Linked DNA regions of Lepisosteus oculatus. The protein of the gene in region 2 interacts with the protein of the main gene of each other region in a biochemical or structural test. Links are inferred from orthologs where the notes say so. Each region holds a gene or a part of one and is shown on either strand. Other genes may lie near its edges.

Region 1 (7,591 bases), on a different chromosome or scaffold from region 2:
TCCTCCATCCGACGTGAGTCAGCCCGGTTTGTGTTTCCAAGCTGTGCTTGCAGAATGCACTATTAAGCCCAGGTGTGCCCCATCTAATGAAAGACTTGATTGTGCAAACACCTTGACAACATCCTCCATTACTTTAGGCTACACCATAAATCACAACCTGCGTTTACTCAACCAGCTGCAGTGTAAAAAAAAAAACAAAAAAAAAACTGTCATTTCCTTGTTCTCTCCACCACTGTTAAGGATACTGAGGTAGTGGTGTCTCTTAACCCTTTTTCTGCAATAAAGGAAAAATCACCTTAAAAAACGGTCCAATCGTCTGGCATGGTCCACACCACATGGCTGTAAAATCCACTACGACAAGCTTGCTCCCAGCATCCTTCAGGGCTTGATCGAAAGCAGTCTGTAAAATTAAAGAACGGGGCTGTTGAGAACTAGCTAAAGATGGCATGTTTTTCCTACAAATTTTTTTTTTAAACTCCGAAATTAGGCAAGATTTGAGGCTACCACCTCAGTGGTTTCAACATGTTGAATTTAACAATGTCAAGTGCACATTCTCTCTGTGGCCTGGTTACCTGTTAAATGTATTTGTGCAATTTTAAATTATGGTTTAACAAGCTGCTAATTAACAAATTTAAGTAGCGCATTAAGTGAGGAGCCAGCACCCATATCAACCTGCAGCTCTTAACTGGCTACCCCTCTGAAGCTCAGCAGGGTTGAGCCTGGCCAGTACCTGGATGGGAGACCTCCTGGGAAGCTATGGTTGCTGCTGGAAATGGTGTTAGTGGGACCAGCGGGGGGGGGGGGCCCACCCCCATCCTGCAGTCTGTCTAGGTCCTAATGCCCCGGGATAGTGGCGGGGACACTATACTGTAGTGGGTGCCGTCTTTCGGCTGAGACGATAAACCAAGGTCCCGACTCTCAATGGTCATTAAAGATCCCCGGGCATTTCTCGATAAGAGTAGGGAGTTATCCTGGTGTCCAGGCCAAATTTCCCCCCTCGGCCTTTACCATGGCCTCCAAATTGTCCCCATCTACGATTGGCTTGCACTTGCCCTGCGATGGACTGGTGCCTTGTCCAGGGCATATCCTGCCTTGCGCTCGTTGCTTGCAAGGCAGGATATGCCTAGGCTCCAGCTTCCCACGACACAGTATAGCATAAAGCAGTTTGATAAATGACAACACATGACATGACTATGGGAGGAACCAGTGGAGGAAAAAAAAAAACACATGCTGGTTTCAAATGTCAACCTTCACCACTCTCTGATTAGTAGTGAAACAAATTCAGTATTTTGAAGGTAGTTTAAACGACATAAAACTGCATTTTGCCTGTTGAACCTAACCCAATCCAGTACCCCTACAGTAAGGTCCTTGAAAACATTCAGCTTTGAAAGTTTAGAACGTGGAAAAAAAAAAATTAAAACACGAGTGACCTAAAACGTGACGCTTGCGGACAACTTTTGACACCGTTCCCTAAAGCGTTGACATACTTGGGGAGGGGGGAATCGTCTAATTTGAAAAAAGGTGGTGTGTGCCTTAATTTCTACTACCGGCTAAAGCGCAGTGATAACGCAAGCGGGCCGAGTCCTCCAGCGCGCCACTCGGCGTCAGAACCACCGCCCCAGTGAGCCAGCTGCTCGCCTCCACGTGTTCTCTACAATTGTGGATACGGCTTTTTTTTTTTAATTTCATTAAAAAAAAAAATAATAATCCTCCTCCACCTGTTTCCCCACCTCCTACATCTTAAAATGGTGTTAATTTTAGTACTCCTGGAGGTGCTTCTGCATCTTAAAACCTCCTGGGACAGAACCCTATTTTGTTGCGCGACTTGCAAAACAAGTACAGACTGCCTTCGCTACTCTCTCCTCCTCCCCGTTTAGCTGGGTTAATGTTAATAAACCAGAAAGGCTGTAGCTACAGTTTCCAACATGTCCCTCTCTCTTGGGGGATACAGGGGTCAGCGAGAGGTCCCAACTACAGTTAATGAAGTTCAAACATCCACGCGTCACGCTGCGCCAAGTGACAGATCTTTTTTTTTTAAGTAGAGGATGAATATTTTTTCCGCCAAAGAAGGAGATTGAGGAAATAAAATTCCGTGCAGCGCCATAAATTGGTAATTGTGACAAACCGATAAGACGCGTTGTTCTTTATTCAGCGGTGAACTGGTTTGCTGTTGCAAAACACGTTGTGGGTGCCGCTGGCTTACACAGCCTCTCAAGAAAGATCTGCAATTCGTGAGTTATTTTCTGGGTGTGTAAAACAAACCAGTACTGAACTCTACGCCCCCCCCCAAACACATTCATGTACGAAAATAATACTAGAGAACAATCAGCTTTTGTCATGTAGTATCCCATATGTTACCAGATTTCATAACGCCGAAAGTTTCCAGCGTTTTTAAATTGGCTTGCACGGCGGTACGAATGAAATGACAGGTCACCGAAGAGAACCGGGTTAAAACAAACAACAACAAAAAGCGTGCACTCTTAAAAACCACGCTGGGTGGAAGACAGGAACGACGAAGGGTGCGACTTATAAAATATAAAGTTACAATAGCAATTTCAAAAGGCAGACGTCAAACATGGCGATCTCTGACGGCGGGGCTGGCGCGCTGCCGAGTCAGGAGGGACTATTTCTGGAAGTGTTTAATTGATCTCGAAGCGATATGCACCCTTACAGAAAAATAAGCTTCCACCATCCCATTTGCGGAACAGAAAACCTAGAAGAAACGCACCTGATGATTAAAGTGCAACTGTATTTTTTCCCCCCTCTCCCGAGCCACCTCACATAACCGCATTGGCCGGATCATACTCCTTGGCCATTGAAACCGCAAGACCCTGTTCGCGCAATAAATGTATCCAATATTTCTCGATCGGCGGCTCAGGAGGTTTCAATGACAACGCAAAGTCTAAATGCATCTGTTACAGAAAATTCCCCTCCACACACACACACACAAATTCAAGGTAATCTGCATGCAACTAGACACCATTTGGGAATAAAAGCATTCGGCGATCGTCCCAAAAAAAACAAAAACCCCAACCGTGTGGACTCCTCACCTTATCTTCGATTTCGAGAACCATTTTGGCAGGACGAAAACAAAAACTAACAGTGTATAACACCGCTGTTATCCCAGCGTCCGGGCTCTGTGCGAGTGAGACTGTGTGTTTTTTGTGTGTGTGTGCGGGGAGCTGCTTTATAAGCCAAGGAGAGCCCGGCCCCCACCCCTCTCTCTCTCTCTCTCCAGGCCGGGCGCAATGAGTCAGCGCCGGGCCCGGGGGAGAGAGAGGGTGGGTCCGGCCCGGGAAATCACTGACCAGCCGGTAGCCACCCACTTACTATCTGACAAGAAGGGCAAGCTTCACAGATAAAATAACGATTTGTTTATCCTGCTTCTTTTTCAGACATGTTAAGAATAAGCCCTATGATTCGAGGAGGGCGAGGGAATGGGGGGTCTTTGCAACCCAAAAACAAACACGCTCTCTTTTCCCACCTCGTCCGTGGCAGGGCCGCCATAGTGCAGCTGACGTTTGCACAACCACACATACACATACACACACACCCGCTCAAACCCGCCACTACTGTCGCCATTCAGGTTTGAGATGAGGCCGGAGAGACGCAAAACGTCCTCCTCGCCTCCCCCACCAGCGGGATGGAAATCGCTTCGCCGCGGGCTGTTTTCTTTTTTATTATTTATTCCAGCCCAAACTCGGTACGACTATATGAATGACGGCGAGTCCTGTCTCTTTAAGAGGGCGGGTGGGATATGGTAGCGGAAGTGTGCGCTTTGGGACGGTGTTTTCCAACGCCTTGCCATCCCAAGACTCATGGTGACTTAACAAAATCAGAGCGGCCTGTCTGCGTGACTGGCGCGGGGGCTTGTGGGAGAGCTCTCTGCTGACTAGCGGGTCGGGCTTTGCATATGTTGAGGATAGATGTCAAATGTATTTCTCTCTCTCTTTAACACTCTTTTTTTTTTTAACCGCCTCTCGTTAGTTTTCCTTCTTTTCCTGCGCGGCTTCAGTATGTGCATTCGCGAACTGGCTCACATATCGAAAGGGAGCGTCGGTCCTTGTGCCGGGGACCCCTTCTGCACAGGCGTGCGTTGTATCCGAGGCAGGGTCGCTCACCGCCTGTTCCAATCCGGTTTTAATCAGCGTTACGGCTGCTGGAATTCATTTCATCAATTACGTGAAAAAATGACGGGCAAAGTGGTTGAGTTTAATATAAAATTATTCTGCGATAAGAAGCAAACTGCTCTTTTCATTTTAACAAAAACGACAATTTTTGTCTTCCTTCTTTAAAGTGTAAAGGGTAAATTGTACGTGTAGATTATTTTTAAGAGAACGATATTACAGGTGGTAATATGGATATCATTGACCAACAGGTTCTCCTTTAGTTAAGCAGGTATTGTATGAGCAGACAGAGGAGATGCCAAGTGTCAGGAAGGGAGACACACCTTCAGAAATATGCACTGAGCTAAAGGAACTGGAAAAACTGCATGATCACTGTGGGAAGTGTGAAGACAATAAGGGATGGTGGCCCATTTCTAGACAGAACAAAATCTTTTTTTTTTCATATTTAACCTGTTGAATGCCAAGACTGGTGAAAATCAGGAGTCAGCACAATGCTCAGGCATAGTAAAACATTACAGGCAAACCAATTCCCATCACTGATAGAGGACATGTGACCACACCTCTGGAAGGTCGTTACATCATCACTAAAAGTGGGATGATCTGAGCGGTCTAGTCACGTCAATAGGAATAACAACACCCAAGAATTAAGTGTATTGAAAGGTTAAGGTAAAGGGCAATAATAATAATAATAATAATAGCTTACACTTCTATAGTGCTTTCCTGGACACTCCACTCAAAGCGCTTTACAGGTAATGGGGTCTCCCCTCCACCACCACCAATGTGCAGCCCCACCTGGATGATGTGACGGCAGCCATAGTGCACCAGACCGCTCACCACACACCAGCTATCATTGGGGAGGAGAGCAGAGTGATGAAGCCAGTTCAGAGATGGGGATTATTAGGAGGCCATGATTGGTAAGGGCCAATGGGATATTTGGCCAGGGGTCCTCACTCTGCACAAGGAGGCTGGGACCCTTGTGCAGAGTGAGGAGGGACCAAGTGGCAGAGGTGGGGGTGCAAAAGAGAACGAGGATAATGTCAAGTATTTATTACGTTTTAGGTGAGGAAGTAATGTCAGAAGGGATTCCGTATGACAGTCAATGAAAAAGTTATGAGATTTTAAATTACACTGGCATTCTGAACATTTGCTGCTATAATACCACGTCCTCCATAGACCTTTTTTGGTCATTTGTAATGGGTTAACACCTCATAATTAGAACTCTGATGGTCACTTTAAACCCACAAAAATCACCTCGGAATCTTAAATTAATTACAAAACACCTATAAATGAATCAGTGATGTGCTCTGATGCTTATTTTTCCAGGTTTCTCACTGATTCTAATCTTACATAGGCCGGCAATAACCCTCCAGAAATCTCTGACGTTTGGCACCAAAATGCCTTCAAGAGTATGTATACGATTGAAAAAAATACTTCTTAGCTTTTCACAACAGGCAGTGTTCCCCTACACATCAGTCAGGATTCTCGATCCCGTGGTATTATTAAAATATACGGTATATATTCTGAAAAAAAAAAAGTAAGTTAGAATAAACATGACCGTCTTGATTTGGGTTCGTCTTTGCGAAAGTAAATATGTAAACAAAATTGTTCCAGACACAGTACACGCCGACATCATCACATATTGTACAGCTTGGTGTCATTTTTTATTAACTAAGACGTTCACAAAATACGGCGCAGATAAAATCACCTTTCCCAGATGAAACGTACGCTTTCTATTTAGCGTTTATGTTACATTGCGGTTAACAGCAAGAGTGGCGATGTGAGAGAGCAGCCTTCTGTCAGTGGTTCATTAGATATGCCTGCGCTTCCTGGTAACGCAGTGTTGTCTGTCAGAGAAAGCAAACAGACGCCTTAAGAACAAAACAACAGGACTCAGAGGACGTCTCAGAAAGGGTATACAAGAGGCATTAAACATATAACTGATGGATATTGGAATCAATGGCATTTGTAGTTTTTTGAACGCTTCTTAATATTAAATCCCCAAAACATACACTGTCTTGTACCTTTGAACTCTTTACGGACCTGATGCAGATCAGGATAACATTAGAAACCTTGAAGGTATTTTCTTATGCACAGCATAAGGCATTATTAAAATAATTTAAAAGGGCATTTAAATAAGAAAAGTGAGTCGCATCAGAGGGTGGTCTCGGCGATTCGCCCCTGTCCTTAAATACGTTTGCCTAAATCAAAAGCCATCAGAGGTGTTACCTAGTCTTGTTTTTCCTCCCTAAGGTCACAAGCGTGTAGCGTGGGGTGTTTCAGTTTTGTAACCTGCGGATCGGACACCTTGAAACGCTGCTCTGCCTGAATAGACTGACATCGCCCCTATTCAAGTTTCAGATTTCCGCAGTGTTTTTTCGGCGTCAGTTCTTTATTCTATGGTCTCATCACGAATCCCCTGTGTCAGCCATCCTTACCCCCCTTGCTGAAATCATGATTCCCTTTCGTCTCTTTTGTGGACAGACTGGGACTTGGGGTTCATAAATATTAACTTTGTTTTGTTAATACAAGTTATTTTTAAGCACAGCCTGTACTTGTTTCAGGTTACATTGTCCATCAACGTGATCGATAGTAATCCAGAGATTAAAAATAAATCACATTTCTTACGGAAGGCATGATTGTTTAATAAGTTATTTTATTTTCTGTTCTTCTCAGTTTTTGGCACCTTTGTTTTAAACTCCAAACCTGTCTAACAGAATCCACTAGGAGGTTAAGAGAGGTGTACCTTTGTGCCAAAGATGGTCTACTAAAGTTGGATTTTGAGGCTGGGGGTGAGTAACCCTTTTAGAGGTGTCCCTCAGTCAAAAATCTCCCATTCGTTATTTCCTCAATACCCAAGTGTCACTGAGGTGAGTCTCTCCCAAGAATTGGGACAGGGATTGCTTTGGCACCTTCCCTGAACTGGCCTGTACACACAGAACACAGCGGCCAGAAAAAAAAAGCCTCCCTGAAATTCTAATACTATTTTATTGATAAAAGAAAATGGTTATTTGCCCACTGATGTACCCACTGAATGTGCACATTCACTGATAAAACAAAAACAAAAATGCTATCCACAGTACAGGTGCACCAGTACCGGCAGGTGTTTGTGGAATAGTATTACTCTGATTGTCTCTTTTATCTCTTCCCTCTCCCTGGCCTGTGATTGGCGAGCTTCACAAAGGGGTTGCCCCGAGATACGATAGACGTAGTGCAGGAAGCTGGTTTTCCATAGAAACCAGGCACTTGGGCGCAGCTAATGCAATTCAAGTAGAGGCCTAGAAATAATTTCTCTCATTCAGGTAAAACAAAAGCTTCCATAACATAGTGAAGAGAAAATATTCTCTCTCTTTCCTTTTTGAAATAGAGAAACCTTTCTGAGGAATGTTCAGGCTCCCTTTCTTGCTCATCTCCCTCTTCATGAACACATTTTGTCGTACATTAGGATGTTTTATCCACAACTTTTG
Region 2 (7,759 bases):
TACATATCTTATATCATATTATAAAGATTACAGTTCTTACTGTGTTATTGATATAAATTAACCACTAATGCTTATTCAGTATAGTTATTGGTTATTATTTATGCAAGCTAACATTTTATTTATATGTCAAACGAAAATACTAAATATTTATTTGCAAAATAAAAGACTAGTACCTACTATCTACAAAGGTTTTATAGCTCTATTCTTCTTATTTTTTTATTGAAGCCCTTTAATTGCTCACTATTTCAATTTGATGTTAGATTTTTTAAAAAATATATTTCACATCACTTTTCTACCCACAATAAAAGAATACTTTTTTTTTCTTGCAGTCTGACAAAAATACCAGTAAAGGCAAAAGGTCTAAATTGTCAAAGGAGTAATTCTAAGGAGAGCAAGATACAGTTATTAAGTGATAAATGCTCCTGACACCAGCCATTATGATGTTAAGTTATGAAACAGCAGTGACATGGCCCTTGGGCTGTTTTGTAATAATCTTAAGGAAGTGTTCTCTGAATTTCCTCCAGGATGAGACATAAAGGACAGGGTTGATACAGCAGTGTGATAAGCTGAGTATCATGGTGATGTTAGAAGCAGTCATAATCTCTTGCCAGATCTTACATGTCTTATCCAATATTTCTGCTTCTATTAAAGTTTTAATAAAGGCACAAATATTATATGGACTCCGAAACATAATAAATCCCAGCGTCACCAAAAAGACGACGTGTTTCTCTTTCCTAGTGTTTTGACTGCTGGTTGCGGAGTGGCTGCGTGATGCTGCCCAGATGAGGAGGAGCAGCAGAGGGACAGCCGAACCGACTGCATATCTGAACATGTGGAAGGGAAGCCAGAGTGCTTCCAGGCCTGCAGGGTGGTCGTGTTCATGGCAGACGAGAGACTCGTTCGATGACATGGAGACTTTGTGGAAAAGTGCAGCTGGTGAAGCAAGAAAGGTCCTGACCAGCCAGGCCATGAAGCAGAGAGCCACTCTGTTCATTGGCTTGATGATGCCGGCATGGATGAAGAGTAAAAGTGGGCTTGCAGTGTACTCTTTCAGATCCCGCAGTACGGAGACGGCTTTGCACAGAAAGTCTCCAAAAATCCACAGCAAAGGCCATGATGGGCAGGGACAGAGAGGAGAGCAGGTCACTGGCAGCCAAGTTCAGCAGGCAGACATCAAGGCAGCTTCTGCGGTTCCTCATGGTAGCCAACACCAGCAGCACAGAGATGTTCCCCACTACACTCAAGACAAACACTGTGGACAAGATGGCGACCACGGCACCTCCGCTGATCTCAAACAGAGGAGCATATGCATAGGTTTGTGTGAGGGTGTGACTAACCAAAGCTAACTTTGAATGTGAAAAAAACTAAAGAAATGGTTTACGATCCGAATGCTGTTAACTCTTCCAATGTAGTGATTCATGAGGAACCTAGTACCTACAGTAGGTAAGTTCATGTACAGTAAGTGTTTAGGGATATACATAAACAACAACCTGAGCTAGACTACTCAGTCCAAGTCAGACTAGTTTTTGCTCCAGAGTACAGCAACATTTGTATTTTTTTTGCAAAGATTAAGAGTGCTTGGAGTTGGACAGAAAAAAAGCCCCTCTTGAGTGCCTTTTTTAGATATGGTGTAAGTGTGTGGTTTGGTAATTTATCAGTCCAATTAGGATAAAAAATCACCCGTCTTGCCCAAAGAGCAATGAAGGTTATGGGAGTGAAACAGCTCTCCTCCTTGCAGACAACTTTTGAACAACTCATAATCAAACCGGCAGAATCAAATCAAAATTGAATCAAATCATAATGAAAAATTCTAGCAAATCCTTTTCATATTTTTAAATCCTGAATATCAACTTCTTCCCTCTGGAAAACATTTCATGGCCACAAATAGACACAAATATTCATTTGTTCACTTAGCTATTAAAGCAGTTAATACAAATAAATGGCGATGGCAAATGCAATTGTTTCAGTATAAACTGTTGTTATTCTGTAACAACCTATGTATGTGTAATATGTTGTGACATTTTTGTAATAAGTTACCCATGTGCAATAGATATGATATGTTTTGAAATGTATTCAGATGTATAGAAGCAATGCGTGTCCATAAAACGTTTCCCCTAGGGGACAATAACATTTATCTTTAATCTGCCCTCTCATCATCTGGGTGGGGCTGCACACTGGTGTGGGTGGAGGGGATCCCCATTGCTTGGAAAGAGCTTTGAGCTTTGAGTGGAGTGTCCAGAAAAGTGCTATGTAAGTGTAAGCAATTCTTCTTCTTCCAACTATTATTATTATTATAACAAATCCCCCGATTACCTGTGTATAAGCAACTTATTTTTCTCTCTTATCTCCTTTCACCTTTTACATAAAAGGTGGAACATTTTTAATGTATATATGAAATATATGCATTAATACCATTATTTTAAAGAACTGCGATGCTAAGCATTAATCACACATGTACAGTAAAGGCTGATTCCCTGATGAAAAGCAGGAAGAACAATGTCAGTGCACCTACTGTTTACATCAAACCCGTTTTATTCTGACTACAGTTTGTATGTCCTCCCTGTGGCTGTGTGGGTTTTTTCTGAGTGCTCCTGTTTGCTCCCCAGTACGAAGACATGCTGTCTACGCATTTTTAAATGACCTGTGACATTCTGTAAATGCCTGTACAGAACGTGACTCTGTGACAGATGTGCACGATCTGTACAGATCTTCTCGATGGTGTCAACCAAAGGACAATGTATGCTTATCGATATTACCACTGCTTTCGACACGCTGTTCTCTGCTAGAAAAAAGAGCATTAAAAAGTTATACAAAATAAACTAAACGATATTCAACTCACACTGCAAAATAAGTTGCCTTATGTTATTCATGTTATTCATCAACTACAAATGACAAATTCTTCTAGGTTCAACAATTTAACATCCAACGACATTAAAGGTATACTAAGGATGAAAACGTCTTTACCTGTAACTTCCCAAAAGAAAGAACTGGAACTGGGACTTGCTATGCTGTTCAGCATAGGCTATACGATAATGCAATATTAACCTAAAGTGCAATGGCGAAACATAAAAACAAGCTTACCACATAAATCCTGTAAAAGCCATGGGGTGTGGTAGGTTTTAGATAACCACACAGGTCATGGGGTCTTAGATAAGTAAGCCCACGTGTTGTAGTTTAAGACATGCTGCAGAATGGTATAATGATGTAGAGGAAGGTGGCTGATTCAAGCATGTGACAGTCGCCTGCAACAAAACACAGCTAGAAATACATTTATATGGGATTTATTGATATGGATCTACAGTATACAAACTGTAATGTCACAGTGGAATGAAAGTTCTGAGCATATCGTACATGGAATTTAAAAGGAAGCACTGAAATGTCCTAATTTGATAAGTGTTCTCTCTTTTTGCTGTGACCCTCCAAATTGAGACCTGCTGCATGTACTTTTCTTTACTTGCGAGATCGCTCTGAAATCTGAATGGGGTTCCTGTAGTCAGGTCAATTAGGTGACATGATTTCTGAAGAAGCACTCCTCCAGTAGACAGCGTGTGTCAGAGCAGGAACTCTACCAAGGAGCTGTCTGTACACCTCTGTGAATTATGAGGAGGCAGAGATCTGGGGATGAATATTAAAACACATCTCGGGTGTTGAAAGTTCTCAGGGGCACAGTCAGGTAACACTCTCCCTGCCATGACAGATGGCGGTGGCAGCATCATCTTATGGGGAAGTTTATCAGTGGCAGAGACAGGGGCTCTTGTCAGGATAGGGGAAACAATTATTGGAGCCAAATACAGGGAAATCTTTTAGGAGATTCTGCTACAGTCAATAAAAGACCCCAGACTGGGGAAAAGAGTCACATTCTAGCAAAACAACAACCCCAAGCACACAGCCTAAGAGACACTGGTGTGACTTCAGAACAAGAAGGTGAACGTCCACAGGTGGCCCAGGCAAAGCCCAGAGTTCAATCCCACTGACAATCTGTGGATGATTGTGGTTCACCAATGCTCTCCATCCAACTTAACAGAGGTTGAGCACATCTCCAGAAAAAAGAGGGTGAAAATCCCCGGATCCTGATGTGCAAAGCTGATACAGACATACCGAAGAAGCTGTAATTGTTGCAAAAGGTTTGACACTTTGTATAATGTGTAAATCAAGAGGAATAATAATTTCAATGGATTACAAATTCTGGTCATAACAACAGTATTTGCAATTGTCCAGCAGTTTTTCCCTTTTCACTTTACATAAGACACAGGGATTTAACTCCACATACAAAATGCTTCACAGAAATTCATTGACTATTATGAAGACAGAAAAAAAGACAGATTTTGTCATCTCTGGACAGGCACTTGAAAATACACGCCTATTCTGCGTGTTGTTGATGACAACTGCATTATACCATCCACAACAGTGCATAGCTGGGAACTACTGTTACTCTGAACTTTCTTTTAATGTCCAGTTTAACTACTTTGTTAGAATACCATTTTATCTTCTGAGGAACATTCCCAAACAATATTTCTGTCATATAAAAAAAGAATGTAGAGGTATCAGTACCATTTCTATTTACTGCTTTTGCCATCTAAAGTCTATTTGTGCTCCTGCCCTTTTCCTAGTAAATTGATTTTGCTCACAATACTGCCCCCAGGGTACTCATTAACAGACCTCTCTGATGATACATGCCTCTGGTGGTTAAAGCTTCTTGGCTGCTGGTGCTACTCTGAATATTTGAAAGTTGCTACAGTTATGTATAGGGTTTCACAAATTACAGCCTTGTTTTCCCTAGATAAGTTAACTCTAGAAGTTTCAAATAAGTTTCTAGGATACGGAAATTAAATTTAATTTTGTTCATGGTTTTAGTCTTGATTCAAGGGATTTTCTTACGCCTGCGGTTAGGAAAGATGAAATATCAGAAAGCACACGGATGTATATTCATTGAGCAGGTCTTGGGGACTACGCCCCGTTTTTGACTGTACACCAGGGGGCAGTCATGGATAAAAAAAAAAAGCAAGGAGATTTACTGTAACAATAACCATCATGTTTTAATGTATAATTTCTTAATGCTGCTTCACAGTAGAATTGCCACATATGATTGGATTTAGCCCAGATATCTTAGCACTGAAGTTAAAACTCCAAAGGACGTAGAGTGATGGGCTCTAACATACAGTGCCTTGCGAAAGTATTCGGCCCCCTTGAACTTTTCAACCTTTTGCCACATTTCAGGCTTCAAACATAAAGATATACATTTTTTATTTTATGTGAAGAATCACCAACAAGTGGGACACAATTGTGAAGTGGAACGAAATCTATTGGATTTTTGAAACTTTTTTAACTAATAAAAAAATGAAAAGTGGGGCGTGCAAAATTATTCGGCCCCCTTGCGTTAATACTTTGTAGAGCCACCTTTTGCTGCGATTACAGCTGCAAGTCGCTTGGGGTATGTCTCTATCAGTTTTGCACATCGAGAGACTGAAATTCTTGCCCATTCTTCCTTGCAAAACAGCTCGAGCTCAGTGAGGTTGGATGGAGAGCGTTTGTGAACAGCAGTTTTCAGCTCTTTCCACAGATTCTCGATTGGATTCAGGTCTGGACTTTGACTTGGCCATTCAAACACCTGGATACGTTTATTTGTGAACCATTCCTTTGAACATTTTGCTGTATGTTTGGGATCATTGTCTTGTTGGAAGATAAATCTCCGTCCCAGTTTCAGGTCTTTTGCAGACTCCAACAGGTTTTCATCCAGAATGGTCCTGTATTTGGCTGCATCCATCTTCCCCTCAATTTTAACCATCTTCCCTGTCCCTGCTGAAGAAAAGCAGGCCCAAACCATGATGCTGCCACCACCATGTTTGACAGTGGGGATGGTGTGTTGAGGGTGATGAGCTGTGTTGCTTTTACGCCAAACATATCGTTTTGCATTGTGGCCAAAAAGTTCGATTTTGGTTTCATCTGACCAGAGCACCTTCTTCCACATGTTTGGGGTGTCTCCCAGGTGGCTTGTGGCAAACTTTAGACGAGACTTTTTATGGATATCTTTGAGAAATGGCTTTCTTCTTGCCACTCTTCCATAAAGGCCAGATTTGTGCAGTGTAAGACTGATTGTTGTCCTATGGACAGACTCTCCCACCTCAGCTGTAGTTCTCTGCAGTTCATCCAGAGTGATCATGGGCCTCTTGGCTGCATCTCTGATCAGTCTTCTCCTTGTCTGAGCTGAAAGTTTAGAGGGACGGCCAGGTCTTGGTAGATTTGCAGTGGTCTGATACTCCTTCCATTTCAAGATGATCGCTTGCACAGTGCTCCTTGGGATGTTTGAAGCTTGGGAAATCTTTTTGTATCCAAATCCAGCTTTAAACTTCTCCACAACAGTATTACGGACCTGCCTGGTGTGTTCCTTGGTCTTCATGATGCTCTCTGCGCTTTCAACAGAACCTTGAGACTATCACAGAGCAGGTGCATTTATACAGAGACTTGATTACACACAGGTGGATTCTATTTATCACCATCAGTCATTTAGGACAACATTGGATCATTCAGAGATCCTCGCTGAACTTCTGGAGTGAGTTTGCTGCACTGAAAGTAAAGGGGCCGAATAATTTTGCACGCCCCACTTTTCATTTTTTTATTAGTTAAAAAAGTTTCAAAAATCCAATAGATTTCGTTCCACTTCACAATTGTGTCCCACTTGTTGGTGATTCTTCACATAAAATAAAAAATTTATATCTTTATGTTTGAAGCCTGAAATGTGGCAAAAGGTTGAAAAGTTCAAGGGGGCCGAATACTTTCGCAAGGCACTGTACATCACTTCTTTCTGAAACTCTGCTGTGGGTGTAAGTTACAGGAATATTAAAATGACATGCTTAGTGTAAAGTAGATGAAAGAGAAGAAAGCACTTAAACATTAGTGTGGTGGATACCAACCTACAAACCACAACTCTGAATCAGTGAATCATCTTAACACTTGCCCATCTGAGTGTTGTGCCCCTGCAGGCAGACATCCTCCGAGCTCCAGGGTGCACCGGTGAAGCCTGCTCATCTGACAGAGCCCCTAGGTTCACAGTCCCTTGAATCCTCTTCCACCTTTCAGATCAGCTCTTCCACCTTCTATCAATACCGGGAAGGCCAGAATAGGTGTATTCCTCTGCACCACTCCAGGTCTCATGACATGAGACAAACATGTTGTTTTCTGCTTGGACACCATCTGTAGTGTAACCCTTTATACCATCTTTCTACTATACTTTAATCAGCAAGAAACACCTTCTCTACTGAGACACTGGAGCCTTGCAAACTACATAGGCAAGGGCCACCATTTTCCTCAACCACCCGACACTGGAGGTGGGGGTGATGTGGTCAGGATCACGCTCCGACCAGCCTGCTACCCCTGGAAGGATTAACCCCTGGTGCTCATTTGGACAGCAGGCTGAGTGGACCTAGGAGCCAGCTGGAAGGAATAAGAGCTCCATCACCTGCCCCTACCTGGGATTGAACCCGGGGCCTTCCGGTCAGGAAGCCAAACACCCTTGCCGTCTGAGCTACCACAGCCCCCTTACAAACTAGATACTGGAATACTTATCCAAGTGAAGGAGCTACAAGTCACTCTTGATCTTCCTTTCAGTAATCATCATCCATCCTTAATCTCAATCCCCTGTGAGCTCTTCCTTCACACTCTCATACTAGACCCTCTCTAACACAAGGGCTGCAATCCTGCCTTCTGTCTGTCTGCTGATGTTAAAGCACAGGAGCCACAAGGCTACACCTGTATTATTTAA
Region 3 (8,424 bases), on a different chromosome or scaffold from region 2:
AGTATTCCTGTTGGGAGAATAAAAATAAAGATATAAATGCTACTTTACTTTCTGTAGTAAAAGTCGTTTACCTAGTAGACTTTAGATATACATTTCTGTGCCAACTATTCTTACCTTTCTTAGGGCTCCACTAAATGCTCTATTAAATTGCAATTTGACCAAACTGCAATACTTTTGCACTTTTGATCTTCACAATTGGGAAAAAAAAGCTTTGACTTCAGCTGTTCAGAGCTTTAAGTCTTAATATACCTTTGATTTAATATACCAGCATTTACTAAAAGCTTTTACCAAAAATCCGGAAGGCATAGTGTGATTTGATCTCGGGGGTAGCTGAGTCGCTGAAGGCACTCAGGAGGTCTAGGAAGTCCTCAAATGACAGGCTGCCATCTTTATTTTCTGAGGTAGAGAACACAAGACAGATCCTCTGCCGGAATGGATTACACTGGTGAGGGAGAAAAACATTAAAATCATAAAGAATGCTGCAGGGGAGAGGAGCTCATTCAGACCATCTAGTTCATTTGGCTGCTTGACAAAATGATTGCATCTCCCAAGTATAATAAAGTCCGCATTCAACAAGCATCAGAGATTTATTTGTACGAGGCAGAATAGCTGAAGAAGAGACAATTCGGAACTTGTTCTGCTTCATGACAGAAAAGCCCCCCAGCTCTTTTCCTGACAGCAGGGTGTGTCTTACATGGTACAGTACATTAGACTGGAGTGCAAGCTGAACTTCACCTTTTCTTATGTACTGTGAATATCTAAGACCAGTGAGTATACAAAGTGTACCTCAAGAAAAGTTATTTAAAGTTGAATGTCTGAACTTCCAACTTTAAAAAATATCCGCAATACTGGCATTGAAGGGATTTGCAGTACAATACCTTTAGTTCTGGTAGAGAAAGGATCTTTTCCATGGATACCCTGGAACTTGGAAACTGCCTCTCTTCTCTGGAAAGGAGCTCGGTGAATTTCCTGTGGGCACTGAAAACAAATGGAAAAAAAAGGAAGGTAGAAGCCAAGTAGAAAACACTGCACATTTAAAAATCCAGAGTCTGTTTCAATCAAGGATAACAGGCATTTTTAATGACCACAGAGAGTCAGGACCTTGTTTTTTACGTCTCATTCGATGGACAGCGCCTGTTTACACTATAGTGTCCCCGTCACTTTCCTGGGGCATTAGGACCCACATGGACAGCAGGGTGAGCGCCCCTTGCTGGCCCCACTAACACCTCTCTGTGGATAGCACCACAGGAATTGAACCCAGTTTCTGTGAGTCTAGCAAAGTTAATGAGGTCTGGTTATATAAAAGACTTTCACAAGGTTAGTATTTTGGGGGTTTTAGGAAGCAATATGGGCGATTGCTTGAATTTGACAATAACACGGAAGGAAAAGGTGTCTATCTAGGATCTACTAATTCTAAACAAATATCACACAGCATTGTCTTTGTACGTTTTCATGTGTTCAGAACCCTGTAGTCACCCTGTCTAAGGCTGGGGACTGACAATATTGAATTATATAAATGTGCTTGAAGTGCAGGTGAAATTCAGCCTGGAGTTCTAGAGAGCAAAGTCCATTTTCACCAGGAAGTAACAGTTGCTCCTCAGATAACATTATCATCTAGTCTACACCAACAGGACTACAGCAAGATAATAAAATTCCAAAAATGAAAGTACTTACAGCAGAATTTCTTGCTTTGTTAAAAATGTCAGCTCCTGGAATGCAAAATATCAACAAATTATTTTTATTAGATATATATATATAGTAATTATAGTAGTATATATTGTTTACTTTGGGTTTAAAATGTATTTTTATTAATTCATTTTCTAGTGTTAAGTTATTAATCTATAATCAGTTATCAATTCAAATGTGAAGAAATTAATTATTTAATAATGCAAAAGGTATACTTTCAAAAGCAAGTGTATTAAAAAAACATGAATCAAACTTATTTCTGATGTGTGTACAGTCAAGTTTTTCTTTCTGTAAAAATCTTGTTAATGTGCCATTATGAAACAATATTCATGAACAATGGATACATTTGTAGTGTCATGTATAAAGGGTTACATGGGTAATGAAACAGCATAATAACCACATTATTTACTGTAAGTTATTAAAGATAACCTATCACTTGTAATTGACAAACTCACAAAGGTATTATCAGGAAAATTACATTTTTTGTAGCAGGTGCACTGATGTTTTATTGAACACATATAATTTAGGTAAATGCATTATATTGACTGACAATTGTCATCAACATGGGGTCAGCTGTGAAAGTGACTGGACAGTAGCAGGAGTGACCATCTTTGGAAGCAATGCTAGGTGTACGTCTGTGATCAATTCCATGGATCAGGTTAAATGTGCTCCTTTCTTTGACTCTGCCCCAGTTCTTTCTTAATGTCTGAAAACTGGTCTCTGTCAGACATTTCAGACACTGGTCTCTGTGCCCTAGATGCCACACAGTACCAGCTCAGCTCATGTGACAAATGTTGAATGGGATTCAGGTCTGGAAAGTAGTAACTAGTATCCACGGCATAAATGTCACATTCCCATCTGGCAGGACGCATGTTTGTGCTAAGGTACACGAGCAGTATGAGGATGTGCAGGGTCTCGCTAGAACGCTGGATGAGCCCGCAGATAGGCAGCAGGTGAGATCCTGGCATTTGAACGCCTTTACACTCTTGATAAGCTGAACATATTCACTTGCTTATATTCAACACGTTAAATGACCTCATTTTCCGTTATCAATTGACTGATCAATCACTAATTACGTTAAGATTAAGATCTTATGAAAAGTTAGTCATTCGAGTGTATCACGGTTAGTTATGAATGATCAGTTAATCAAAATGACATAGTAAACATTTAAGCAATATCCAACATCCGTACATTTATTTTTCTAAAGCCATACTTACATAAATAGAGTGATAAGTCTATTTTGATCCTCAGTATATATTCTCTATCAACTCGTTATTTTATCACAACAAAGCAAACCCTTAATATTATTCCAAGAACCTTTAAAATAAATATGTAATTCGATCAGTTACCTGATATTCTGACAGTAAGTCTTTTGGTAATTTGCTCGCTGATGTCCCCATAGTTTGCTCAAACTAAAATCAAATAAAAGTTCAGACCCAACTTTTTTCACGTCGAAATCGAATATAGAAGTTTTGCTAAACTTTCTCCACTTCCTCTTCCTGCAATGACGTAACAGTTGCCGTAGAAACGGATTTACAAAAGAAGCCGTCGCACGAAGTTGTGTGAGGCCTCTGCCAAAACTGTGCGTATTTGTATGACCCTATCTGAAGAATTTTGATACATATTTTTGCTACTGTACATAACATCGTTAATATTGGTAATATCTCAATTTTTTGTCATTGTGTTTTATGATAAATATTTAAATCTTTATTAATATTGTAGCGCCCTCGGGTACCGCGAAGCAGGCTGGGAGTTGTAGGCGGGGGGGGAGTCTGAGGGTCAGCACGATGACCAGCAGCTGACCCTGCTTATGTAAACAGTGTTATATTAGTTTAAGCGTCCTGTGGAGCTTTGTAAGTGTATAGTCTTCTGATAACGAGTTACCACCCTCAACCTGTGTACGTGTTCCGTCGGTCCCCTTATGTGTGTGTGTAAATCCTGTTTTTGGGTTTGGTTTGAATGGGAAAGTAAAGCAATCACTTGTCTCGCTATCTCGTCTCCACTTGTCTTTTGTCCTGCGTGAACTCGAAAACGCTACAATATGTATTGAAACGTATTTGGGTTAATTAAATATGTATTCAAACGTATTTGGGTATGTTCATTAGTATTACTTATGCGGTGCTTTCATTTTGAATTATTTACAATTATATTTATGTAATAAGATATATATCTTATTTTAGCTTCTAACTAGTGGTTTCCCACACCTATTTAACTCTGTTCCTAGACTAACTGATATTATCTGCGAGACTATCCAGTGATTTGTTTTTCTCAAAACGAATATTCTTTTTAGGATTTCTCTTTTTCTTCAGGCGGTTTAGTGGTATCCACAATGGGGTCCTCCACTTACTTACGCATTAATGATGTCATCAATATAGGACGATGGCGTCTCCCTGTTCCTGGTTTACCGGTGTCCAGGAACTCGGAGCAGGTTTCGGGAGTGGAGCTCGGACCCAGACTGAAACGTTCAGCTTAATGGAAATGACTCACATCCACCAGTTTCTGTACAGTGACAAACATTTTGTCCACAATGTCTGTTGGCCGGGCGATTCCAACAAATGCAAGCATTCACAGTTTCTGTCTAAATTCGATTTAACACTAAGGTCCGCTTGGACTGAAAAGATGGTCCAGGGGCTATTTCGATATCACCTCGGGGATTTACAGACACGGATTTTACCTGGTCCACATCGCTTTGTTGCTCAGTTAAATATCTCACGGGGCAAGGAACGCAGGAAACCGCAAGAGATACTAAGCATCTCCCAGAGGTTTGACGCAAAACAGTTTCACTTCAATAAAATACAGCCAGGGGAGATCGTTTTTGAATTGTGTAAGCGAGATGCGTGTGACGCGAGTGAAGGCGATGAAACCAGAGAGGGGGAGACATGTTCTTACCAGAACGGTACCGCAGATGATCTCGCCCGCAGCCTAGTCGTGATTAACGTGAGCCCACTGGAAGTCGGCCACTGTTTGCTCATTCCCGACCCGAGCCGGTGTCTGCCCCAGATTCTCACTCCGGGCGCTGTTCGGATCGGAATCGAGGCGGTTCTACTGAGTTCTCACCCGGGCTTTCGAGTGGGATTTAACAGCCTGGGCGCATTTGCCTCCGTCAACCATTTACACCTCCACGGCTACTACCTGGACCATGAGCTCCGCATTGAATCCGCCCGCACCGAGCCACTCATACCTCAAAGGGGCTTTCATCTCCTTCCTGAATTTCCCGCCGGATTCATGTTTTACACAGACGGCGAGGGTTTGCGTGCAACCGTCGAATACGTCTGTAAGCTCACTGACAGTTTAGTGGAAAGGAACATCGCTCACAACCTCTTCCTAACCCGTGGCCGCCCGCCTGGGGATCATCCTCATCCGGACTCGGCCCGTCCCGGTGTCCGTATAGTCGTGTGGCCTCGGATCTCCTGTTTCGGAGCGAAAGAGGAGTCTGCCTTCAACGTGGCCCTCTGTGAGCTTGCAGGACATTTGCCATTTAAGAACCAGGAGGACTTTGAAACGATCGAGGAGGACGATGTGAAACGCATAATCGAGAAATACCTCTTTCCTGAAAATAAATTCATTGCGTTACAAGCAGAGCTAAAGCATCTGTTGAACGATCAGCCCCATTAAACAGTAAAATGTCATACAATTAATTAGACCATACTGTATGTACTGTAAATCCCGTGTAAATATCAAAGTAATGAGAAGGTGAATCGATTCGATTGCACATTTAGTTAACATTAACATTTTTTTTTTAAAATTGCAGTCATCAGCACTGTTCTTGACATCAGAACAGAGACATCTTGGTTTTACTGTGAATTCCTGAAACGCGGTTATGATTTCTGTCATATTTTGCAGCTCCTCTCTTTAATCTCTACCTTGCGTCACATCTAGTCGGTTCAGTAGTTTATGTTGATATATGATTAACTTTAGCATATATCATATTTTTTTCATATATTTTTCATATAAACGGGAAGAGGTCAAACGACCTTTTTAGATAGCTGGGTTGCAAGTAGCTCTTTATTCATCCCTGAATCTCATCCTGCTCTTTCTGAAAGGAGATGAGGTGTCAGCTTCAGCAGAACGACTGAGTGGCTTGTTCGGGACTCGTGACAGCCCTTTGTGTAAAATAATTTCCTCTTTTCTTTGTTTGAAAAGCACTGTCATTGATTGCACTACTGTAACATTGTTAAAATTGGCTTTGAAGTTGTTATGCTTCGTTGTGACAATTTAGGATTGTTTTAAGTCAGTCGCCTTGGATAAAGGTCGTTGCAATTGCTGTATAATGTCAGTGTTTGTTTTTCAGACGTTATCTGATCTCTGAATACTTTTGTTTAAGAATATTAAGAATATATGTTATATTACGAAATCATTCATATCTGGATACTGCGTTTTAATTTCAGATAAACAGGAAAACCGGAAAGCGACGCCACCAGCAGAGGGCGACAACGAGCCTTTAGTACTTTACATTTAGTATTAGGAATAGCTTTTTTGTTATTAATTTTAACAGCGTTGTAGGAGGGTGCGGACAGCAGGGAGAATTGAGGGATTTAGTGGCTGTGAAGCATGGAACAGAGATTCTGTGCACTGTAGGAAGGATATAATGCATATAGCTGCATTTTCTAACCACTTTATCCAGTACAGTTGTCGCAGGGGAGCTGGACCCTATCCCAGAAATGAATGGGCACAATGCCAGTCCATCACAGGCACAAACACGAAGGCACACACTCACACCAGGTCAAACTTTCCCAGAAGTCAACGAACCACCCAGCATGTCTGTTGACTGTGGGAGGAAACCAGAGCAACCGGAGGTAACCCACACAAGCACAGGGAGAACATACAAACTCCTCATAGATAACACCCCAGGAATTGAACCCAGGGCCCCAACACTGCAAGATAACAATGATAAACACTGTGCCATCATGCTGCTCTGAAAACTTTAACAGCACAACACAAATTTGTATTGAACTATTAAGCGTGTCACACAGAATTGCATGCATCTATTTTTTTCTGTTCCGTGAGCAGACAAACTCTTAACAATGAAGTGCACCGAAAACCGAGAGCAAGAGATCAGGCCGAGAGCTCAAGCGGGGATCGGGATCTTGGCCATTGAGGTTTGTGCTGCTGCACTCATTTCCAGGTGGTTATGTACCGTTCCGGCGTCGCGCAGCTCTTCAGGGCTGCCTGCTGCCTCTGCTGCGCTGTCTGCTCCAGTGTTTTTCGCACTCGGTGCAGTGTTGTGATCAGGGAGCGGTTCTCCTGCAGCAGAGCCTCCCACTCTGCTCGTGCAGCTCTGCTCCGCCTCCTCGCTCGGTCTCGCTGCAGCTCTGCAACACTGAGCTCCGACTCAAGCATCTGCAGCCTGCCATGGAGGATGCAAAATCAGTCAGCAGCAGAAGGCTTTTCATGGTTTAATCATGCCCAGATACCACTATTTAGTCTTCCACCACTTCTCCTTAACAATTGTAAGAATCCTACAAATCCTTCAAGGCTCAGCTTGACTTAGGACTCTACCTCATTAGGTATTGCTGTTTAGTGATCTCCATTGTCCTCCTGAGAAACAGCGCCTCCTCCTGGTAACCCTGCTGTAACTGCTGGTCAAGGAACTCGGCCTCTCTCCTCAACCTGCTTTCCCTGGTCACATCCTCCTGCTGGCTTGAAGCACAGAGACAGACAGACCTGGACAGATGAAGGCATCCGTACGCACTGAGCACAGCAATTTCAGTTTTTGATCAACTCATCTTTAAAACCTGAGTGATTCAAACCTACTGCAGAGTAAACTCCATGCAGTCTTTTCAAATGATTCCTGTGGTCAGAGTGAAAGAAGATAGACAGTAAAGAATGTTAACCATCCCCCAGTGGTGTGTGTTGCAATTACAGATATGAAACCCCCCAGTTCTGCCAAGGGTGACTGCTGTGCTGGTAACATTCTCACAACACAACCGTACACTTATTTTCCTGTTATCAGCCCATCAGATAGTCCAAATAGCCCAAATTGTAGATGATGATACTTGGCTTTGTACTCTGCTGTAGATAGTCAGAGGTAAACAGCCATCTCAAGCAATTCGGTGAGATAATTCTGCTACACAAGAACCCCTAAAGGTGCTTAGGAAACCTCTTTTTCACCCAGGAGGTGTGGGCATGGTTAGCCTGCAGGGAGTCTTCACTCTGGGCCAGGGCCTTACAATGCCCCCGGAACATCCCGCCTTTGCCTTGCTCCATCACTGGAAGACACCAGGGGGCAGTGTGCAGTAACACTTAGCTCCACTACCAAAACAGTTCCGCTTCCTGAGCCCTCAGATGTCCCAAGAGTCTGATCACGTTACCTGGAGTATTTAATACACAATGAAAATGCTTCTAAAACAATGATCTACACAAGTGTACCTGTGCATAACAATAAATAATCAGAGCTTCACTGTGTTAATATAAAACAATTAAATATGACTGCAGAAATCTTAACTGCTGTTAAACCTAATGTGTCTGGTCACACAGCACATAGTTTCAGTGGGTTAACCAGATTATAGGGCTTTTAGTTTCCAATTACCAAGCATTTCTGGTTCCAGAAACCAAAGCACCTAATAAAATATATAGTAGTACTATTTTCCTAAGATACGTTGCTAAAACCTTGATTTCTGCGCTCTTGGTGTGTGAGATTTCCTTCTGTGAAACCATACTGTTCATCACATCTCTGAAACTCCATAATGGGATCCCTGCCTATGCTATTATACACCATGACGTGTGTGACACTCTCCA
Region 4 (7,388 bases), on a different chromosome or scaffold from region 2:
AGCTACAGACAGCTAGTACTTAACTATCTGTAGATAGTAGTAGCTGGTAGCTAATTGATCCAAATGTCTTCCTTCTTTTAAAGGAAGCCAGGTTTATCAGCATCAAAAACATGGCTGCACAGCTCTAGTTCTAGACGTTATGTAAAGAAGTGCCTCCTATTCTTAGTTTTAAATGTACTTCCCTGCTTGTTTTCTTACAAGATTTTCACAAGACATTCAACGGGTCAAATGGCCAAATCCCAATAAACTCTCTGACAAATAAGGTGATTAAGCAATTATTCAACAGTCAAAGTAAGGTATGTCCATAATGGTCAGTCATGACTGATCATTTAATCAAACATTGTGAAAACATATTTAATATTCAAATCTATTTTGTGTTGGAAAAGAAAATAAAATAAAGAGTGACAAGCTTTTTTTCTGATGCCCACTATATGTACTGTCACTTCAAAGTCAGATGTGTATAGGCCTTATGATATGACGAGACTGAAGAAAATATACTGTATTTATGTACATGTGAAAGCTTAATCTAGTTTAATAGCACTGTCAATACTAATACAAGCTATTAATTAAAGCTGAGTAATAACAAAAACTTTAAAGCTTCATTCTACAGCTTTGCAGAAACTGTAGAATTTGTGTTTTGAACTACTGTGAAGTTAATTAAATCCAACATGGTTTTATTAAAATTCCCCATGAAAAGTACCTTAGCAGCTAAAGATCAAGCTGTTCCTTTCTTCACAATGGTCAAAAAGCCAACTTATAATGATAGTAGTGCTAGTAACTAATTGATACAAGGGCCTCACCATGGTGTATTTTGAAGAATAACACAGAATCAGCTTTGCTTATATGATGGGATAGCTTGTTACTAACACCTACTTCCAAAAACTCCTTTTATTCAACTTACCTCCTTTAAGCCTAGTTATTATTTTCAGTCCTCTACACCTGGACTGTATTTCCATCTCTGTTATCTGCAGTTCATCTACAGTAGGCTATCTTCAATGTGCTTGGACACCTAACCCATTCATGTGACTTTTAGCAGGATACAATTATGTAACTATGCCACACAGCTGCACAGCAATAATAAGGAACTGCTGCACTTTTAACAAGGCTTGTAATTCAGCAAACGCATGGCAATTGCAGAACTGTGCTCAAACTGCATTCTTCAATTTGATTTCTTGCAGCTCGGTAAGCTTTGGCAATACTCCTAAGGGATTCCAATCAATTCAAACTTAGTCAATAGCCAAAATATTAAGCTATGAAACAACAGCTTTTGCCAGCACCTTTTCCTTCAGTGCCATAAACTAAAAGTGAAAAACATACTGCCAACCCCTGACCTAATGGACACACAAAATGGGAGTAATCTATTAATACTGCATGCGTTGCACAGACATTTCTTTCACATAACAATATGGAAATTCAAGGTAAAAAGCATTCCAATGGACATAAATACTTTTTCACCAACTACTCTTATTTGAATAGGAATTTCCTGCATATTTTACCCATGTGCTGACTGTGCAAATATTGGCATTTCAATCACATATAAGTCCTACGGAAATTAATACTACACAATAAAAGTAGTTAATATATACGGCATGAACTAATAAAGAGTAGACTACTATTTCACTGGTATAAACTGATAAAAACAGTGGATACAGTATGTGTTCTTTTAAAAGCTTCAACATAAAATGCTTTCTTTCCTTAGTATTTAATACAAAAGGGCTTTTATCACAACAGAGATGCATTAGTAACATCCCCAAGCACTGCAGCCACATTGAGATGTTTATTTTGTGTCTGACAGCACGGCACTTAAAAACACATTTTACTTCTCAGTTCATAAAACATTACTACAGTACATTCCTATAAAATAGATAATAAAGTACCTGTTTCATTCTGACACCTCCAGCACGTGTTGGTCTCTGCAAGGTTTAAATGAAACATTTTATTCCTTGTATAATGCAACAATGTGTTATTAATCATGACTGTATTCATCTCGCCTACATGATTATCATGGCGCATTAGTTCATAAAATCTTCTGGCCATCGAATGTACACAAAGGAAGGGAAATCTGCAACATTTTTTTCTACAGTGCCCATTTTATTAAATATTTTATTGGCTGGAGATTTAAAGAAATTGCTACAGTAATCCACAAAGCGTTTGTACAGCTTCAGAGTTCGATTTTTTTATTTAATTTGCGGCGTAACATTAGTACTAAAACCATTATTAAACAACCTGTAGCAAGAATAAGCACTGCATAGTAGTCTTCAATAGCATAGGTATATGTGAACCAGGCTACTTACTGCACGTGAGGCCTTGAAATATCAAAAATAACACAACACAAGAAATGACAAAGCTCATTTAATTGAGCAGGTCACTGCAGCTTTCTAGCGGTATCCCTGAGTTTAACCTTTCACATTTGCAATGTAAAAAAATGGAACTGAATTTTAAAAGAAATGAAAAATATAATTTAAAAATCCGTATAAAACTAGACTATTTAGGCCTTTGGCCATAAAAATCATTCAGTGAAAACCGCCCCATAGAAATCCAGATCTGTAAAGTGATTTAACACGATGTCTAACACGTCTCGCTCTCGCAATCTTCTGGATTTTAGAAATGCCACGGAGAGGTAAATTAAAAGCTTCCTAAACATAGAGGCCTACAAACAGTGGCGATAAGGAAATGCAAACTGCATCGCTACGGTGCAGCATTACTAGAGTACACAGTGAGACTTTCACCAATCATGTTCTCCAATTATTCTGATAAAATAAAAACGTTTACGGACTTTTTGTTTTCTGGCGCTTACCCTGCATGCTGCTCACTGTTGTTATGTGCTGAGACTGGGACTGGTGCTGATGTGATGTAGATGTAGATCCTGCGTTATTGCTGTTGTTGCTGGAAGAGGTTGTTGAGTTGGTGCTGGGGCTGGGAGTCGCCATTGTTGTGTTTGATTCCAGCAGCAGCACTGAGGCTGCAATGCAGTGAGTGGCTTCACCCTTCACAGGCAGGGACACCTAGCTACAGAACTCAATATAGCACTACACCGCTTCAGTCTAAAACCCTTCAAAGTCTCGCAGGACACCTAGCTACGAAACTCAACATAGCAGAATACAATTTATATAATAAACTACTATTCAGTTTTGAACCATTGAGCAATCACGAGACAACTAGCTTGAGAAACCAGCACTACACAATACAGTACTCGGTTGAAGTACTCTATGTGACCAGCCCGTCAATTTCCGCCTACGTAGTCTGACAGCGCCTCAAAATCCACAATAAAGCAATAAAGTCTGATAAAGTCCGAGTATTTCCCATTCCACAGTAATCACCAGACCACTCCTAGTGCTATAAATGAAAGCCCTGAATTAAAAGGAGCCAAGACACACAAGGCATAACATTTGCGGTGCGAGTTGTAGTTAGTCCCACTTTATAAATAGTAAAGCCGTTGTTCAATCTAAGTTACATATTTTCAAATTATGCAAGGATTTGGTTATACTCTCCTCCCCCACCCAGAAATGGCAGTACTGCAACCTAATATGATTTTAGTGCTGAATGTAGAATAATTACTTGGAGATTTTCGTATACAAAAATTAAATACTACCTTTATCCCCTTACGTTTGACATAAATCAAAGCAGCTATAATAGCTGCAATAAAAACAAAATAACTGGACTGCTATAAATAGTAGCCGTTTGGGGGTTGGGGTCCCTGTAGTTGTTTATTCCTTTTGGGGATTTGGGGATTTTAGGTTGTGTCAGAGTGGGATTACAGGATGTCAATTCAGACTGAACAGGCAAGTGTGTGAATGTGGAGTGTGACTACAGTAGGACCTGCAGTGCTAAGTAGTGGTTAGTATCTGTGAGTTACAGCAGCTGTAAGAACTTTCATTTATTTTCAACATGTCCACATTATCATTATTGAACTGTAGTTTGACCTTCTGTCTCAGGAGGTCCTGAAGCAGAAGGGAATTGGAGACTAGGAGACAGGAGAGATAGAAACACAAATGCCATGTTGTAAAAAGGAGTACTCTCCGGGTCATTGTAAATACAAATTTGTTCTCTAAATTCTATAAAGTATTGATGAGTAGTGGAGTAGTGTGTGTAGTGGAGAATATGTGTCCCTTTATTAGGGCGGTGCAGTGGCTCTGTGGTTAAGGATCTGCGCCTGTGGCTAGAAGGTTGCCGGTTTGTATCCTTCAGCCTGCAGAAAAATCCTACCCCATTGGGCCCCTAAGCAAGGCCCTTAACCCCAACTGCTCCAGGGTCACTGTAAAAATGGCTGACCCTGCACTCTGACCCCAAGCCTCTCTCCCTGTCTGTATGTCTCACGGAGAGCAAGTTGGGGTATATTGAAAAGACAAATTCCTAATACAAGAAATTGTATATGGCCAATATATGATCTTATATTTCTTACTGCAGCATTATTGACTAGAAAAGCCTTTATAGAAGTGTACTGTAGTATGTCTACATATCCATAAATAGCGTACCAAGAGGCCATATTGCCTAGGTAAAGATGTGTATATGTAAATATATATTAATAATGCCTGTATCCCTATATGTCTATGGCGTGATGTTTTGGCTCTTGCATGACTCTTCTGAGAGGAGAATGCTCATAACTGTGTTCAGTAGGTGTGGTTGCTTATGACCGTCAGTGTGAGATTGCCCACACTGTCACATCACCACAGTCCTTGGGGTATAAGGGCCCCTTTTAGAGAGAGAGAGAGAGAGAGAGAGAGAGAGAGAGAGAGAGAGTTAATGCAGTTAGTGTCAGTCTGTGGGGCCGTGTGTTGGTGCCATCAATTGTCTGAGCTGCCTCTTTCAGATAAATAAAAAGCACACCACCCTTTTGGAGCTGCAGTCTGAGTCAGAAGATATCCTTTATCTTCAGGGCTTGCATAGATGCTGAGCAGTGTTACAATAATGTTAGTGGTGTCAGAGTGGGATTACAGGATGAAAATTCAAAGTGAACAGGCAAGTCAGTAGAAGGGCAATAAAAGCGAAGCACAGGACCACCAGTGTCTTCCAGGAGCCAGCTGACAGAAAACAGACTCCCGATACAGGAGGAAGATGTAACTGGGGAGCAAAGAAAGACTCCAGGCAGCAGAAAATTCATACAGAGATGAAAGGCACTAGGCAGGCCCCTCGACCCTGCTGGTGTGGAGGAGAGATGGAGGAAGAACTCCTGCATCACCTCCAGACCTCCTTGCGGCATGGGAATAGATCAGGAAGGTGGAAGACTGGCTGCAACAGTCAGCTTTTTAAATGGCTGAGTGGACCTGCGTAGGCACAGTTCACTTTTATGATGGCAGTGAGCAAGACCTGGCTCATTGTCCGGATCACTGAGGTTTTATGTCTGCCAGGGTAACATGGTAGTATGGCAGGTGCATGACCAACTAGTATAACTGGAGAACAGTTACAATAACAGCAACACAACAGCATTTTAATATTCTTTATTGTTCCTCTAAAGACATATGTCCAGATCTTTTCTTCTGTACCTCGATAAATATGCATTTATTTAAATGTTTGTTAACAGTAGATAACAACAGTTTACTACAGTATTCTCACAAGATCTACCAAAATTTTCAACTTTGTGCTTTCGCTTAATGCACAATGCACAATGCACAGTACAATACTATTCATTTGTGCTCTGTAACTAAGCTAATGGAACTATAATTCCCAAACTGCATTGCAAATGTCCATGTGATCTGACTCAAACTCAATAATGGCAGTTTCTTTTCTCTGAGCAAAGTACTGAAGAAAATAAGTAAAATGAGCAAGAAATACGAATTAACAAAAAACGGAAAAACAAAAAGCGGGTCTTCGGAGTGTTTTCAAGTATTATGGAGAAGCTGCAATTTATGTATGTTTTTTTTCTTTGCTTTAGCGGCATATGTGCAGGCAAGTACCGTACTAAAGACAAATGTGACTGGTTTTGGAAATTAAAGTGCAGTTGTTTTTATATATTTGTTTAAACTCTTTTATATCTTTATGGGTGTCTGTATGCTGTTTATATTAATAAATAGTACTGAGGCTGGTTACATACATTCTAATGTTTTAGAATTTAGAAGTCATAAGCACATATATTTCAACACTGTCATACTTAAGGAATTCGATGTCATCGTTCTGAATGCATTTTATGTATTTTGAGCAATATGCGGTATGGATAACTCAACATCCAAAAACGTATTGTTTCTCTCATGGCATAAACGTTTTTTGTTTTAAAAAACACTTTTAAAACTATTTTTTATCATTGTTGCTCTTTCAAACTAGACAGAAAATAAATAAATTTAATTATTTTTGATTATTCCAGATCAATGACCCCGATGCTGGCATATGGATGGTGAGTCCTAAACAGTACACCGTAGTACGAAGTATAAAACTGAATTCTTCACTTCAGAGAAAGCATACGAACTCTACCAGTGCGTATCTTCAAATGCATCTTGAATGGCCTCTGAAAAACATCGAGCGACACCTGCTGGCTGTATTTGTAAAATGTGACTGTTTTTATTTCCTGACTTCCAATATTATAAATGCGTTTGTATTTACAGGTTGCATATTCAATCCCAGCTTCTTTGTGTTTTCTGATAAGCCTTAAGCCTCCAATTACAGGTATGACTCTATCCTGATATCTGTTTTTATGTCATGAAAGCTGATCCAGTCCCTCCTATGTTATGTAGCTCAGTAACTTTGCAAAATCAAGATGAATGTGTTGTTTTTCAGAGGTATTAATCTGGAGGAGACTATCTGATCTTCATATGCTTATTTGTGCTGCTGTAGCTGCCATGTTGGGATGGTCCTTGTATAAAAGTAAAGCTGAAAATATCTTCCAGAAAGAAGAAGGAAGGTAATTGTCACTTTTCTATCCATAGGTAAACTCTGGCTTAGGTTTGAGCAATTAATATTAAAGACTGATTTTATAATTAATTCCTTAGTTTTATTTAGTAAATCCTAATGGATTGGCATCTGTTCTGAAAACACAACTATCAAGAAAATATAATTAAACATGTCAGTTATATTGGTCAAGAAAAAAAAGAATTGAATGTAATCTTAAGTACAGTTATATACACCATTGATGTAATCACCCTTTACTTTTATTTTTGGAAGTATTGTTACACTTCACTTGGTTTTAATCTCTCTCACCTTAGTTGATCACTGTATCATTTTTTTTGCTGTTCTCTAAGAGAGTTCTCTGGATTATTATTAATCGTGGTATGGCTGATCCTGTGTCGTCATTCAGGAAGGTGAGGTGTTCCTCTTGTTTTATTCATTGGTGAGAAATGTGATTAAAATGTGTTTACACTCTAATAGATATTCTAATGCAGTTTCTTCATTTTACAGTTCATTTTATCTAAAGGTACTGTAATGCATCTAAATCTATTTCTTTAACCGAAGGTTAAAAC

Evidence for each region.
Region 1: the proteins of map3k5 (region 2) and txnb form a complex in vitro, tested with the Homo sapiens proteins (3 studies listed by BioGRID). The link is inferred for Lepisosteus oculatus from reciprocal best matches to the Homo sapiens genes MAP3K5 and TXN.
Region 3: the proteins of map3k5 (region 2) and calcium and integrin-binding protein 1 form a complex in vitro, tested with the Homo sapiens proteins (2 studies listed by BioGRID and IntAct). The link is inferred for Lepisosteus oculatus from reciprocal best matches to the Homo sapiens genes MAP3K5 and CIB1.
Region 4: of the proteins of map3k5 (region 2) and map2k4a, one has a biochemical effect on the other in vitro, tested with the Homo sapiens proteins (3 studies listed by BioGRID). The link is inferred for Lepisosteus oculatus from reciprocal best matches to the Homo sapiens genes MAP3K5 and MAP2K4.

What each region holds. Positions count from the first base shown.
Region 1 is NC_090696.1:72,010,380-72,017,970, forward strand, and holds the start of txnb (thioredoxin b), read right to left. Parts: upstream 3,181-7,591; 5' UTR 3,075-3,180; coding exon 3,051-3,074; intron 401-3,050; coding exon 296-400; intron 1-295. UniProt on the Homo sapiens protein: Participates in various redox reactions through the reversible oxidation of its active center dithiol to a disulfide and catalyzes dithiol-disulfide exchange reactions.
Region 2 is NC_090697.1:4,797,139-4,804,897, reverse strand, and holds the start of map3k5 (mitogen-activated protein kinase kinase kinase 5), read right to left. Parts: upstream 3,052-7,759; 5' UTR 2,965-3,051; intron 1-2,964. UniProt on the Homo sapiens protein: Serine/threonine kinase which acts as an essential component of the MAP kinase signal transduction pathway. Plays an important role in the cascades of cellular responses evoked by changes in the environment.
Region 3 is NC_090700.1:60,939,925-60,948,348, forward strand, and holds the start of calcium and integrin-binding protein 1, read right to left. Parts: upstream 3,198-8,424; 5' UTR 3,087-3,197; coding exon 3,036-3,086; intron 1,710-3,035; coding exon 1,675-1,709; intron 979-1,674; coding exon 879-978; intron 443-878; coding exon 289-442; intron 1-288. Other genes in the region: gdpgp1 (GDP-D-glucose phosphorylase 1), read left to right, coding at 4,066-5,301. UniProt on the Homo sapiens protein: Calcium-binding protein that plays a role in the regulation of numerous cellular processes, such as cell differentiation, cell division, cell proliferation, cell migration, thrombosis, angiogenesis, cardiac hypertrophy and apoptosis.
Region 4 is NC_090704.1:37,383,148-37,390,535, reverse strand, and holds the start of map2k4a (dual specificity mitogen-activated protein kinase kinase 4a), read right to left. Parts: upstream 3,198-7,388; 5' UTR 2,931-3,197; coding exon 2,798-2,930; intron 1,914-2,797; coding exon 1,878-1,913; intron 1-1,877. Other genes in the region: tmem220 (transmembrane protein 220), read left to right, coding at 5,758-5,886, 6,299-6,328, 6,537-6,597, 6,709-6,832, 7,170-7,229. UniProt on the Homo sapiens protein: Dual specificity protein kinase which acts as an essential component of the MAP kinase signal transduction pathway. Essential component of the stress-activated protein kinase/c-Jun N-terminal kinase (SAP/JNK) signaling pathway.